3 linked regions of the Schizosaccharomyces pombe genome follow. Changing the gene in region 1 together with any one later gene gives a genetic interaction. Each region holds a gene or a part of one and is shown on either strand. Other genes may lie near its edges.

Evidence for each region. A genetic interaction does not mean that the proteins touch.
Region 2: mutations in SPOM_SPAC18B11.09C (region 1) and SPOM_SPAC144.17C together harm fitness more than expected from each alone (negative genetic interaction), as found in Schizosaccharomyces pombe (one large-scale study listed by BioGRID).
Region 3: mutations in SPOM_SPAC18B11.09C (region 1) and jmj2 together harm fitness less than expected from each alone (positive genetic interaction), as found in Schizosaccharomyces pombe (one large-scale study listed by BioGRID).

The regions. Positions count from the first base shown.
Region 1 is NC_003424.3:300,701-304,936, forward strand, and holds SPOM_SPAC18B11.09C (serine O-acetyltransferase activity), read left to right. Parts: upstream 1-2,301; 5' UTR 2,302-2,460; coding exon 2,461-2,531; intron 2,532-2,633; coding exon 2,634-2,940; intron 2,941-2,970; exon of another isoform or gene 2,971-3,015; coding exon 3,016-3,093; exon of another isoform or gene 3,094-3,151; coding exon 3,152-3,319; 3' UTR 3,320-3,461; downstream 3,462-4,236. Other genes in the region: transcriptional corepressor Tup11, read right to left, coding at 1-563, 736-820, 888-1,011; protein pat10, read left to right, coding at 3,763-3,835, 3,974-4,031, 4,071-4,160, 4,219-4,236.
Region 2 is NC_003424.3:4,685,638-4,691,479, reverse strand, and holds SPOM_SPAC144.17C (6-phosphofructo-2-kinase), read left to right. Parts: upstream 1-2,326; 5' UTR 2,327-2,648; coding exon 2,649-2,967; exon of another isoform or gene 2,968-3,017; coding exon 3,018-3,958; exon of another isoform or gene 3,959-4,002; coding exon 4,003-4,092; 3' UTR 4,093-4,378; coding exon of another isoform or gene 4,379-4,918; 3' UTR 4,919-5,178; downstream 5,179-5,842. Other genes in the region: GDP-mannose transporter Vrg4, read right to left, coding at 273-1,310; cia2 (sister chromatid cohesion protein), read right to left, coding at 4,379-4,918.
Region 3 is NC_003424.3:1,803,884-1,809,126, reverse strand, and holds jmj2 (histone demethylase Jmj2), read left to right. Parts: upstream 1-2,329; coding exon 2,330-4,477; 3' UTR 4,478-4,579; downstream 4,580-5,243. Other genes in the region: SPOM_SPAC1002.07C (N-acetyltransferase Ats1), read left to right, coding at 209-327, 386-420, 467-497, 589-699, 751-885; bouquet formation protein Bqt2, read left to right, coding at 1,346-1,409, 1,485-1,644, 1,725-1,857; transcription factor TFIID complex subunit Taf11, read left to right, coding at 4,755-5,243.

The DNA.
Region 1 (4,236 bases):
TAGAACCAGCATTCGCAGAAGCAGTCATAGAAGGTTCAGCCGAAGGAGTTGCTTTGGTAGGAATACGCGGTGGCTGGACATTCACAGCAGGTTTTGAAGTAGCACTTGGATTATAATAATTGGAAACACCAGGCAATTGAGGATTTGGTTGTTGAGAAACCTGATTTGCTCCGTAATTAACAGGAGGGATATATAAAGGTGTAGTACTAGGTAAATTGGATGTAGATATCGCGGGATTTTGAGAAGCAATTCCCTGATTAAAATTTTGCCCGCTAGAAGCCTCTACTGAAGGAGGAATTGGAGGCATCAATACTTCAGCAACATTATTTTGAGGATAAGCTGATTGGTGAATTGGAGGGATTTGCTGAAAGGCAGGTAGATGGTTACTTGGAGGCTGAGAAGTAGATTTGGTTTGAGAGGGATGTTCCTGATCAATATGGGTAACTTGATTATTAGAAGCGGCAAGTTCAGATCTTTCTCCACGATTTCTATAACTTGCGGTATTCGCTTCGACACCTAATTCTTCAAGCTCTCGCTTCAACTTGTTGATATCTTTTTCGTACCTATAAATGTTAGTAAATTGGTGAAGACAGATGTTATAAAGGTTTTTTTTTTTTTACTTCAAGCATATAAATCTCGAGCGACACGTATGCTATTATAAAATAATGATGAATTTCACAGAAAAGAAGTAGATACTATATAATCCCTCGATACCTTTAACATATAAAAACTTACGTTTCTCTAATAGATTTTTGTTTTTCATACATATCATCCACGGTTTTTCGGAACGCTTCAATTTCTTGAATTTGAGATTGTATCACTGCAATAGAACAGAATGTTAGTTTCCAAAAAATAGCTAATTTAATTTATTTTATTCAAACACGTACTAGAAGATTCATAGTCGTTTCCGCGCGCCTTGGACGCGAAGCTATGATGAGCCAAAGCATTGTATTCAGCCTTCAACGCATCCAGCATTTCTTGAACTTTCGTGGCATCCTCCACTGACGCCATTTTTTTTTTCAGTCAGACTTATTGCAAAAACTGAATCCGATTGATATACGCCCTTTTACAACAATAGCAACACTTGAATTGTGGTACAAGAATAAACTTGTGTTCTTGAACGTTTGTAGCAGCACTTTTATCGAGCGGCTCCTTGTGCTGCGCTAATCTTTAAATAGAGAATGTGGTGCTACATATTTTTGGTTGAGCAAGTATCACAAAATTAGTATGGCGTGTGTGTTGGCAACTTGTCCCAATTATTTTGAAATTCATTTGAATTATAGAGAAAAGCAATTCGAAACCCTTTACTGTTTGATTTTTTGTAGCGTTTATATTATTTTTTTGAATATAGATTTTCTTGCTTTTCAGTTGATGTTTGTTATAAAAAAATAGTTATAACTTTGAAACGTAGTGTAATTCATTTTTTTTTTATTGATGGAAAAATTTGTTAACCGTTTTTATATATCAATATAAAAAAATTAAAATTTGTGTTTAATCAATTTATTATCTGATCCTTGTTTAATTAGATTGTTTACCGACCTTTGTAAGACATTATTACAGTGAGTTTTATCTTGATAAGTATTAATTAAAAGTTATGATAGTATTTAACCCGTAAATTCACATTTCATTTGCTAATGACTCAGTTAATCATAAGTGACATTATTTGTTTAATGATGCGAAATTTGACGCACTTTACTGATATTAAAACATTGTTGGTTGTCTTAAAGATGCTTTTTTCATATAATCTAGTTATCATGAAGAAGGATGAAAAAATCCCATAGTTGAAATTTATTAACACTAAAGCAAAATGTTTAAGCGCAGCAAACCGAAGCCGTCAGAAATTGAGCATTTAATCTGACACGATATGCCATTTACACTTCAAGGGCGATTAATAAATACACTTTGGATTTATTTTTAAATCATATTTATTGCTTATTTACTTATCAATTTTTGTTTGATGTACTATTTAAGTTGTTTTGAATTTTTTTTTTATATGACATTAGTTTGGGATTACTACCCAGTTTAATCAGTTTAATGATACAGGAGGAAAGCAAGATTAAAAAAGGGACGGACAACGTTCATTGCATATCTTGTTATTGCTTGTCAGTTTACGGCCCTCAGCGTTTGTTAAGCTACACTAACTATTTACTTGTAACTTGATAAATTTTGGTATGCTGGTGGTAATACGAGTAGGGGCCAGACATAAAGCAATGCGACAATTAATGATATGTTGCATAGTGGGGCATAATGTAGTGTAACAGCTGACGCTATATATCATCGAGATGTTTTTACTTACGTTTTACAAACTATTTCACTAAAAAGTTTCCGTATAGTTTTATCAGCAATTTGTTAATATTGATATCAATACATATATATATATATATATAAGTCTATTTATACATCGATAACTCTACTAGTCCCATTGTCAATGCTAGTGAATATACTTGTTTTCCGACAGAAATGACTCGTACTCGTGTACAAAAAATGATACCGAAAACCATTGAATACCAAAAAATGATATCTGGTCAACCGTAAGGCTAATGCTTAAAACTTGTCGAGCTAATATATCATCTTCGTTGACATGTTTGAAGTCACATTGAACGCAGGGAGATATTCTAATTACTAAATAACAGGTACAAGGCTTACGACGAGGAGTTGACTCAAGCGAGATGTAATGCTAAAAAATTAATGCGAAGGTTTAATGACACTATGGGAGATTTGGAAAATGTAGGCCCAGCAGAATTGATTAAAAGACGAGCTGAACTGTTGGCTGAAGTTTTTGTATTTGACGAATCTTCAGCACCAGAGATTGAGCCACCTATGGCTTTTGATTACGGATTTAACGTTCATTTTGGAAAAAAATTCTTTGCAAATTATAATTGTACATTTCTAGATGTTGCCATAATTACTATTGGTAATAATGTAATGCTAGGCCCCAATGTATGTTTATATATATATATAGTTACTTTCAAGTCATTCATTCAAAAAATAAATATACTAATGGTGTCTTTCCAGGTTCAACTATGTACAGCAACACATCCCTTGGATTTTAAAGCAAGGAACTCCGGAATTGAATTTGGTTTACCAATTAACGTATGCGTTAGTCCAGTTATTGAAACATCTTACAACTAACAAACAAAATTTTATCAAGATTCAGGACAATGTTTGGATTGGTATGGGAGTTATAGTTCTCCCAGGTGTTACTATCGGGGAAGGCAGTGTAATTGGAGCGGGTGCTGTTGTTACAAAAGACATCCCACCTAATACGTTGGCTGTAGGATCACCTGCCAAACCTATTCGTAAAATTGAAAACGAGTGAACGAGTGTAATTTTTTTTTTTATTATTTCATCTAACGATTAAATGCTCTTTGAACTTCTTAAGTTCACCTGGCTTGGTTCCTAAATTTTTAAAATAGTATAAATAATATTATATTATGTTTGAGCTTTAAATTGTTATATAGAAGACTTAGAATGCTAAAAGAAATCCATTTCTCACTCGCCAAGTAGGATCAGTTTCCTCCTATGACTTGCTAAAGCCCCCACGTGGTACTGCAATCGATTTTAATTCTAATGCTTAGCCAAGTCTAAAATAGTTGAAATTCTTAGTGGGATAAGAACTCTTAACCCCCACGATATATTTGAATGCTAAATAACCTAACCTAAAACCATTTTACACATTTTATTACTAACTTCATTATATTCTTGTAGAGGAACCATCCCATTCACCAGTTCTGAAGTCTCGACAACGAAAATTCATAAAATATGGCGCCTGCAGAACTTAAACGACCTGATTTAATCGTTCCCTACAAAGCTAGAGTCAAAGCAAATGAAGAAGGTAAAGTAGAAAGCACTTTCAAATTGAACCCAATCGTGAGTTACGCTGATTTAATCGCTCAAGCTTTAGTTCATTGTGGAATATTTTAAATCCTTTCTTTCGTCAAATAATTTATTAAGTTTGCTAACCCTATTATAGTTGGCTTGAGTTTGGTAAGCACAGCCACGTGTATGGCTGCTTTATTTCTTCGTTTCAAGTATGTAAGATATTTTAGGATTTTCATGTTAACGAGAAGATTAATTGCATGGGTTGCTTTTATCCTAACCTTTTCAAATTTACTGAACGCAAATACGTCTCCCAGCTCATCTCCGACTTCAATGGCTTTGTAAGTAATCCTAATTCATTGCATTAATGTAGTTCTATGGATGTTAACATTTGATCAGTATGGGTATCGCGGCTCT
Region 2 (5,842 bases), 4.4 Mb from region 1:
AAGCAAATGATTTAGGAAATGAAATAATAGAGGTCTAAAAATTGTAATTGAATGTCAGTGTTTTATCTGTCAAAATATTTCAAACCTAATAGTCACGTTGTAATAAACGACACGATCTCGTAATCAGGTTTTTATCGAACACGAGTAAAAGCGGTATATTTTGAGTAACGGTAATAAAAACTTTTTAAGTAAAAAGAAACAAAGTCTATTCTCTTATGCAGGCTTGAAAAAATTTTGCAAATTAAACATAAATAATAACCAACACAAAGGGTTTAAGACTTTGACAGACTATCGCGCATGCTTTGAGAACTAGCACTAACGGGATTATGAGTCATAGGGAGGATGGTAGCAGGATCTTTCTGACGTTGCTGTTGAGATTTAGCAACGGCATAAACAACACCAGAAATAAAGCCCAACAAAATAGCGGTAACAGATCCAAAAGTGATGGGTGCATCAAAAAACACTAAACCGGCAATAGCCAAGGGAAGTTTGTTAAGAGCACCAACCATACTATAAGTTGTCGAAGAAGTTACGCGTACACACCAGGCAGAGGTGTAAGAAATTCCTACTGAAGAAACACCACTAATAGCCATAGCCATTAGAACACCAAATTTGGCATCAGGAGGGAAATTTTGAGCAATGTTTTCAGCACTCCAGTCCTCAGTAAAGAGCGTGCAGATAACCAAAACAGGGATACTGAGTAAGTTGTTATAAAACATGGTATCAAAGTCACGAAAGTTGGTAAGTTTGATACGCTTACGCATCGCGAGAACAAAAGCAGCATTTGTGAGACAGTTAAGCACCATCCATAAATAGCCAGAATTTAAGGTTTGGGAAGCAAATGAGGAAGACTGGATGTCTGCCCAAGCAGCGACAATAGAAGAAAGAACCATTAATCCAAAAGAAAAAAGAGTTAAAGCAGTAACATGCCCGCCAAACCAAAGGACCTCACCATAAGCAATGATAATAATAGTTAAATTCTTAAATATAGTGTACACTGGAACAGAAAGAAATTGCAAAGCCTTCGATGCAGTATAAATCATAGCTACCAATAAAAAGGAAATAGGAAACCAAAATTTGGCCTCACGAAAATCAAAATCCCTATAATTAATAACTTTCAAACGTTTTAGTATCCCAATGGCTGCTACACAAACAGTGGATTGTACAGTCAAAAGGAGAAAGTTCATATTGTAACCAGGACTCGAAAGAACATATTTATTGGTCAAAGTCATCAATATGGAAGCCATGCAATATGACACCACTGGAAGAATCGGTGATTTACTAATTCGGTTTAGCATATGATTATCCATTGTTGTTGGAATTTCGTGATGGCTCCGGTGAAGTTGTCTACATACCTACCCACCATGTTTGGAAGGAGCGCGTACGTAACAGGCCTTACCCTTCCTCAAAGACACAGTCCATTGGTAACAAGTTTTGGCATACAGATTGATTAACATCTCTGTTGATCAAACTTAAATAACTTGGTCTTCTCATATAAAATATAATTATTTAAATACTTTTTTGTTCATCTATAAAAGAGTATTTTCGCCTGCAAGCCACACTTAATGTTACACCAATTCATATGTTTTACAACAAAGTATGAGCATTTACTGTAAAAGCTGTGTTTGAATTGTTGTGAAATTCCTTAGTGTATGAAGATCGTTTTCCAGTCGAAGTCGATCATATATAAAGTCGCGATGCAGATACATATACAATTTAAGCATTTGTTGGAACTAGAGAGGCAAGGGAATTGACTCATATTATAATAGATGATTGGAGTATAACCGTATAGACAATGACCTTTCTACATGGATCTTTCGTTTCGTTCAATTGGACTATAAATTTATAAACGAATGCAATGTGGGCTACTTACAAACGCTTTTTCGTAGATAATAGTCTAGTCTTTAAACCATAATAGCTATTAAGACGTTATTTCAAAAGTAAAAGTGCAGAAAGAAGTGTTGACGCAGAGAAGACGATTGATGAAGTACAACTATAAAATAATATACATGCGTTTAGGTACTCGCATGTTTTAATCATGGAATTGGCTAAAAAAATCTATGAGTTGTTGGGAAGTGTTCAGTAATTCTCAATGCCACTTTCAATAATCAAAAATCAACTGAACTTGCAAATGCAAAACATGTAGTATAAGTATGCGAAAATACCCCACCATTAGAAAGCTACGCATCTTAAACTCCTATGGGCGTTTCCAATTGCAGATATGTACGGTATATTAGGGCACGCTTAACTTTGCTAAAAATTAATTAACGAAGTGCAACCACAGATGTATTGCGTAAAGCACTACCGATGTTTAGCCATCCGTCTTAAACGAGCATTGTGCCCATATCAATTGTAAGAAGCTCTTCTCTGTATATAAGCAGTCGACCTCTTGCAAACCGCAGTTTTTAGTAGGAATTGGTATTACACTCATTGTAAACAACATTCTGCATATTTCACCTTTGTGGAAATCATTTATCAAAATACCCACATACAAGGCACACATTGTAAACATTGTGGTTGCAAAGGATTTAAGTACATTTCAATCAGATTTTGGACCTTCCTATTTAATTTATAAATAATTTATATATAATCGCATATATTATATTAAAACTCTAATTATAAACAGCTTGCTTTGATTAGACGTTGCGATGTCGCGCAGAAATTCAATTGCGGTTGAGCAGGCAATCAATCCAAACATGCTTCGCGCTGCCAATCGAAGCTCTGAAGCCTTACTCGATAATGAAAAGTTTGGAGGTGTGCAACCCTACAGTACAGAGAGCGGTATGCTCTTTCATGCCGGAAAGCTCGTAATCATCATGTCTGGCTTACCGGCTAGAGGCAAGTCTAATATTGCTGTGTCGATAGACAGATATCTGAGGTGGTTGGGATTTAATTGTAGATTTTACAGTCTTGCGAAATACATAGACGAACGCACTAGGGAAATGACTAGTTCGCCTGTGAAATCTGGTAAGCTGAAACTATAGTCGACGTTTTGTACCTTTGCTAACTTATAACAGCTGCATCAGAAAATCATGTTTTTAGTAGGAATGACACAATTGAGAGATGTTTAGCAGACTTAGAGATTTTTTTACTTAAAGAGAAAGGTCAGGTTGCTATTTACGATGCAACAAATGGTACTAGACGTACACGTCGTATTTTATATGATAGGTTCAAGAATTGCGGGTTTAAAATCTTGTTTATTGAAAGTCTGTGCAATAAAGAGGATGTCATCAATGCGAATATTCAAGAAGCAATTCATGTTTCTGAGGAATTTCGAAATTGGGATTTGGAGATGGCCGAAAAAGAATATTGTCGTCGAATTGATATTCTCAAATGCCATTATGAAACCATTGATGAAAAGGACTATTCCTTTGTTAAAATGATTAATTTTGCTGAAACCATCATCGCAAACAAAAGTAATGAAGGTTACCTATTGTCTAGAATACTGTTCCTTCTCATGAACATGACTTTGGCGAGAAAACGTATCTTTTTGGTGCCGAAAGCTTCTATGAGACCGTTAAAATTACGAGAACCAGAAGATGACATAGAAAATCGCCAATTTTCTGAATATGTAGCTGATCGTATACGTAAATCTTTCCCAGATGTTTCTTTCAAAAACTTACACGTATTATCCTGCATGGAGGACTCTGTAATGAGTCCATTTCGAGAACTGGGTTCTGTTACCTCATCTATGTCGAGTCTTTCCCCGATCTTAATGGATTCATTTGGAGACGATTTACAGAAATTAAAAGAAACATATGGCGAAGAAGAGTATAATCTTTACCTTGTAGATCCTTACAGATATAGAGTTAAACGGAAAGAATCATTTTATGATTTGGCTGTTCGTTTAGAGCCTTTAATACTGGAATTGGGTCGGGAGCAGCGTGATGTTTTGCTGATCGGCTCTAAAAGCATAATACGGGTTTTTTACGGTTATTATATGAATGTACCAGCTAAGGTAAGATTTCTGACATTGTCCATTGCAACTTACAAATAATTTAGGATATCCCCCAATTATGCCTTTCTTCATCCTCAATTTACGAATTGATCGAAAGCAGCACCGGCATGACAGTCAATGAGTATGACTTATGAATGGCATTTTCCAATGTCTGTTTTCTCAGACAAAAAAATGCTAATTGTTTTTAATAAATGCGCATGACCAATTATATATTGAATTGTGAGTTTGTGCACAAAAATTTAATACTACTTGTAAGTCGTATCAAAACTAGTAAAGTGATATTTTAGTGATAAATGAAAGAAAAGGTCTTGATTTCGTTGAACAAAAAAAAAAGATTATATACCAATCCATATAAAGGGAACAGCAACCAGGGATCCGATAAAATTAAAAAACTAAGAAGTTATTGTCATATACAAACGCTTAAACACAGGTCGCCATCATTCCATTCAAAACAGATAGAAGTTGCTCATTTTCACAGGCAGCCGCCACTCGTTCCTTATCGTTCAGTTGTTTGTTTACTTGAGACTCACTCGCGTGGGTACCTTTTTTAACTTTCACATCGACATGAAAACGGGGAGGAAGACAGCGTTCGAGGCGAACTCGAATGCATAAACCGATCAATGTGCACATAGAGCAATGAGGGATAGTTGGAGTAATGTGAACTGTGATATAAGAATCGCCTTCAACATTATCAACAACCTCAATGTCTTCTAATTTGACGACCGATAACTGAGCAAGAGTTAATGGATGTTCTGGATCATTTATTTTAGCTAGAAGGTCGTATATTTCTTGTGGATCTATTGGATCTCTTTCTTCCTTTATGTTAGTCTGCTCACTTTCAATCTCGGTTAGCCATTGTTTCGTAGAACTCAACAATAGATCCTCTTCTTCTTCAACCCTAGATGGCAATTGATTTAACTCCTTTACTTCCGGGTTTTCGTTCTGTAAATTTGCACTCATTTTTTTTTTAAATTAATAACTAATAAATGACTAAAGACTACTATGAATATCACCTTCGATAGTGTGAATTTTGGAAGGCATAAAATTTAATTAACCTCAGGATGAATAATTGTCATTTTGGATTACGTAGTGCGTTATCAAAGTCAGCACTTGCCACGCTCAACTACCATGCAGTTAGCGTTAACACTTTACTATATGCTACGTGTCGACAAGCCCCTAGTAAATTAGACTACGAACGTTAATTATCAGTACTTCTTATATGTCTTATTAAGTATTTATACTTATTGTACGGTAGATATGCATACTTTATTTGAAGTGATTATAGTCACATTAGAAACTGTAAATGGCCTAACTAAACCCACGTTCCGCAACCAATAATAAATCATTTCAAATTAAATTATAAACACCATGCAATATTTTGATTGTAGCCTACTATCTATTTACGATTGATATACTTACATAAACAAATGTATTAATCGCAAGAGAAACTCAGTATCGCAGTCTCTTGCATGCTCAAAAGGGTGTGAGTTTTGTATTTTCAGCTTAAGCTTTCAATACTCATAACATACAAGTAATACGAGATATTTGAAAATTTATTACTGACTAGAAAAGGCATATAATCACTCCAACTACCTAGAACTGGGAGACACACAGTTGTAGTCCAATATCCAAGCAATAGATTGGCATACTATGCTAGTCAGAAACTAAGCCTTTATTTTAATTGAAATAGATAGTAGTAATTACACTGTGTCAATAGTTGGACACTAGCATTTTATAGCGTTTGTTAAATAATGAGAGACAATGAACAATACGATGGTAATTTCTTTAACGAAAATGCTGAGCACCCCACTAACTGATTTACTAACTCATGTAAATGACCATAATTCATTTACATACTTACTATGATACCAGAAATTCATAGTA
Region 3 (5,243 bases), 1.5 Mb from region 1:
TTCTATTAAAAGGCTAGAGCTTTTGCCAGTATCCCAGACTCACAGGGTCTGATTCTCTTATTGAATTGGAGATTACTCTTAAGCTTTTTATATGGATTTGAGAATATATGGTTTTCGTCAGCAGGGTCGATCTCTACTTCTGTCCGCATGCTATCAGATCAGTTTGTGTTACTATTTAAAAACCGGTTTTAACATTTTGTTTATGAAGAATTTGAAAAATGTGAAGATCAAGTGGAAGCGACAATTCCGAATTTAGAAGTTGCATTTGGATTTATTGACGAGGTTACTCCTGTGGCATATGGAGTATTCATCGAAGAAAATGATCAGGTTCGTAAAAAAAAGTAAACTTGCTTGATCTTTTTTACTAATCTATAATTGCCATCAGCCCGCAGGAATGGCTATATATTTCCTAAATTTTAGGTAGTGAAAAGTTCCGTTTTGAAATATATGAGCTGACGTTGAATAGCACGTGGACTAGCAGAGTGGGGATTTATTTAGTATGTTCTTATCATATTGTCCTTCATAACCTTTTTATTGAAGGATTAACTTTTGATTTCATAGCAAGATTTTAACCATTCAATTTCTTAGGAGGACTTATATGTTCGACCCCAATTCCGTGGAAAAGGATATGGAAGCTACTTACTGTCTTATTTAGCACGAGAATCACTTAGAATTGGTGGCAGACGTCTTGACTGGGTTGTAAGTTGTTTATAACCCATTTCTTTTTTTATACCTTGACTAATACCCTAGGTCCTTGATTGGAACCAGAGAGCCATTGAAGTCTATGAAAAGGCTGGAGCACAAAAAGTTGGAGGATGGAGTATGATGAGAGTCACCGGCGAGAACCTAAAGGCTCTTGCTGATAAACTTCCCGGCAACTTTTAAACTCATACCCAATACTTAACGCTCTAAAAAATTGAAGCATGATATGTTATACCTTTGAAACCTTGAACTGGAAAGAGGAAAATTAATTTTTTATGATTGAAAGATCCTGGATCTTGTAGTTTCGTTTTAAAGCGGTCATTTCAATGTCTTTAGGTTATTTCCCGTTTACCAAAAAATACGATATCAATTTACATCTTACATTTTTTAAAATTAAAAAATAAAGAATCCTTTTTTTTGCAAAGTAAATTATTAGAACTGGTATATTGTTCTAATGTTAATTCCTATAAAACTAATTTGATCGTTTTCCTTTCAATTCATCAAATCGGCTTCTTATTGTGTATTAAAAAATAGAAAGAAAGTATTGGTTAGTATTCTTGAATATCTTTTATTGTGTTTCTTTTTCGAAACGCGTCGCGCGCAATTGTAAACAAACCAACTACCTACAACAGTTTGCCTGTCAATGTTTCAAGGAAAGTGCGCCTTTTTTGATGAAACCGTACCTTCTGCATTAATTGCTTTATGGCGTAAGTTTTAAAGGTTTGATGTGCACTTGTTTGTTGTCGAATGATTTATGGTTCAGTTGTTCTTACTAAAGATAGAATTACACAACGGAGAAGCGAAATTTTTAGCAGAAGGTTATGAAAATTTTGATTATGCATTTTCAATGCATCTAAGAAAGCACGTCCGCTTGCCAAATTACAAATCAGTTCAATGTCGTTCTCCTTGGTGGATTGCGGAGCAAGTAGCTGTTTCCAGAAGGTATTTATTAAATTTACTAAATATTGCATTGATAGTTTATCTTATCATTTACCAAGGCAAGTACTAACCACCATTATTAGCAAAAGTTACGTTTCTGAACCTGTCATTCATTTGAACGTGATGGAACCTTTATATGTTGATCACAGAATACGTTCAGTGTATCTACAGCCTCTGCCATCCACGCTTTCTTTTCTAAACGGTGAATTACCTTGAAATGCTTTGGTGCTGATATGGCGTTGTTCCGATTGTAAATTCTATGCTAATTGTGAAAAATACCTTTCCTTTTTCTATCCTTTATAATTTAATGATCGTTCCTTTAGCTCTCAAAATCGTCAACTGAAGTTGTCACAACCTTCACTTAACCATACGTTACGAATATTAATTTAATGCCTATTTATGCTATTAGCCTAAGATTATTTTCGAATTTTACCTAATTTCTTTATTTATATCCCATAAAGACACTTACGTCTTTTCAATGGACAATTGAACAAGTATACATTGCATAAACATAAAAAACTTACTTCATCTAAGTCCGAGTTTAAAAACTGTTGTTTCCATTTATTATTTCTCATTTACGTTTCGTTTCTTTTTTATTCTCTATTTTTTAATTCTTTTTATAATAACTTTTTTTTTCTGGAATCGCTCACCATTCGGACTAATTTATCTACTTATTTGCATAGGAAACATGAGCAAGTCTACTTTTCATCAAACTTCCCCATCTTTTGTACAATACACTCATGCTACAGATAAACTAAAACCTGCACCTCATGGGATGAATACGCGGGGAAATAACTTATCCTCTATGTCAAAAAATACCGGACAAAGAAAACAGCGTTCCAAATCCATTCATGGACTTCCAGTTGCTCCCGTTTTTTATCCTGATAAAGAGGAATTTCAGGACTCTATCGGTTATATTAATAAGATAGCTCCAATCGGTGAAAAATATGGTATCATAAAAATCGTTCCTCCTGCTGGTTGGAATCCACCGATGCAACTTGACATGAACAAGTTTTCCTTCCGTACTCGGCGGCAGGATTTGCATATGATGGATCTTCGATTTCGTGAAATAGTCTCTTACGATGAACGCGTTTACCGTTTTTTTTGCAATCTGGGCATGGAGCTCCCGGAATCATTTTTTATTTCCAATACGTCTATCGACTTATACAGCTTAATGCGTTGTATTGATTCTCATGCATCTCTAAGTGAGAAGGAATTAAAAGTTCATGTATGGAAAAGGATTTTACGAGAACTTTCAATTCCTTTTACTAATGCATCATTAAAGGAAGCAAGTGACTTGTATTTAAGGTATATTTTTCCATTTGAGGATTTCGTCAGAAAATATCAGACCTCTGAGGATCAATGCTTTGAAACTGATCTCTTCCCTAAATTTTTTACAAAAGACGAACATTCTAATATTAGTATTAAAGATCAGAAGACATCTAAACAATTTAACCCCGAAACTAATGAGTCCGTAGGAATTCTTCAAAACCAAGAATCCAAGAGAAATGAGCAGATTAAACAACAATATATGCCAGCCGATAATTTTGGATCAAATGATAATCACTCACATAATAAAAAGCGACGATTGAGCTCTCTGTCAACGAATAACAACCACTTATGTGACAATTGTCACAAACCTGTCAATTGTGAAGTCGAAGATACGTGTAAAGAAGCGTATTGTACTAAATGTATAATTAATCCATATGAGTTTGGGTTTGAAACAGGGAATTATTATACTTTATCGAACTTTGAAAAATACTGTGACAATTTTAAGAAAAATTATTTTTCTAAATTTAAAGACTCGGAGATAACTGAGGATATTGTTGAAAAAGAGTATTGGAAACTCGTAAAAGACAATAATACAAGCCTTGAAGTGGAATACGGTGCAGATTTATCAACCCTTGATCAGGGCAGCGCCTTCCCTAGTTTAGCCAAAAATCCAGTGAATCCTTACTCTAAGGACACATGGAATTTAAATGTTATAGCATCCACAAATGGTTCTCTATTAAGCTATATAGATAATCCTGTTTCAGGTATAACCTGTCCGTGGCTGTACGTTGGAATGTGTTTTTCAACTTTTTGTTGGCATGTCGAGGATAACTATACTTATTCCGTAAATTATCAACATTATGGAGACACAAAATTATGGTATGGAATTCCAGGTGATCAAGCCGAGAGGTTTGAACGCGCCGCTCTTGATATTGCTCCTGATTTGGTAAAAAAACAAAAAGATCTGCTTTACCAATTAGCTACAATGATCAACCCTGATGAGCTACAAAAAAGAGGTGTCGATGTTTATTTCATCGACCAGGGGCCTAATGAATTCGTGATTACCTTTCCAAAAAGCTTTCACGCAGGAATTAATCATGGGTTTAACATTAATGAGGCAGTGAATTTTGCTCCCAAAGATTGGTTACTAAACGGATTCTCTTTGAATGGCGTTTTGAAATATCAGTCACTTCTTAAACCTCCTGTACTTTCACATGATATGTTGGTTTACAATTTAGCGACAAATCCGGCGTCAGAGATAAGTGTGTCTGAGCTAAGGCCTTGGGTGCATGAGGCTGTCAAACGTGAATTAGGTATACGTATCATGATACGAGGACGCTATGATTTAAAGGAAATACTTTATCGTGAATTAATGGAGGATGCCGAAAATTGGCAATGCCAGCATTGCAAAGCATTTTCATACTTCTCTCAAGTTGCTTGTTCTTGCAAGTCGATTACTGTATGTCCATTACACATCGAATATCTTTGCAAGTGCGATTTAAGCAATAAGACCTTACGCCTAAAAGTCGACGATAATGAGTTACAGAAGTTGCTAAGTTATTAAAGTTACATTTATTCTTTTCTAAAACAATTATTTTGCAATTTATAAACCTATATTTTCAAGGTCATTTACAAACATCGTTGGATTCATGTAATGTAAACAATTTGACTATAATCATAGTATTGTACGTTTAAGGAAGCGTAGTGTACTTGCTTATGTATGAAGCAGTTTCCAACCTGTGAAATTTACTTCTTGTACATTCTCACTTTGCATAACAAAATCAAACCCAATTTTTAAACATTTAGAGCTCTTCAGTTTTTTGAAGATAGAAGGGATAAATATGAAACGAACTGGTTCTGCGAGTTCAGTACCTCGATTTCAGCGATCGATGAGCTACGATCAATCTAATTCTCCTACAGCAGGAGCTCATGCAAAGGCAAATACGGCATCGCCTGCTGCTGAGCCTGCTCCCTCATCAAAAGAAAAAGAGAATTGGAATCGGCAAGAAGAAAATGATCTGGAAGAAGACGATAGGGATGACTTTGGTACAGCTGCTATTTCAAAAGTTGCTGGAAAACCTGGTGAAACGGACGACGAAGCTAATGAAAAATTGCGCACAAAATATCTTCTAGAGAGTTTTGATGAAGAGCAAATGCAAAGATACGAAGTGTTTCGTCGTGCTAACTTAAATAAAACCAATGTTAAAAAATTGGCTAACCAAATTTTAAACCAAAGTGTAACCCCCAATGTTGCTATTGTGATCTCAGGATTTTCAAAGGTGTTTGTTGGAGAAATCGTTGAATTAGCTCGAAAGATTCAAGATCAATGG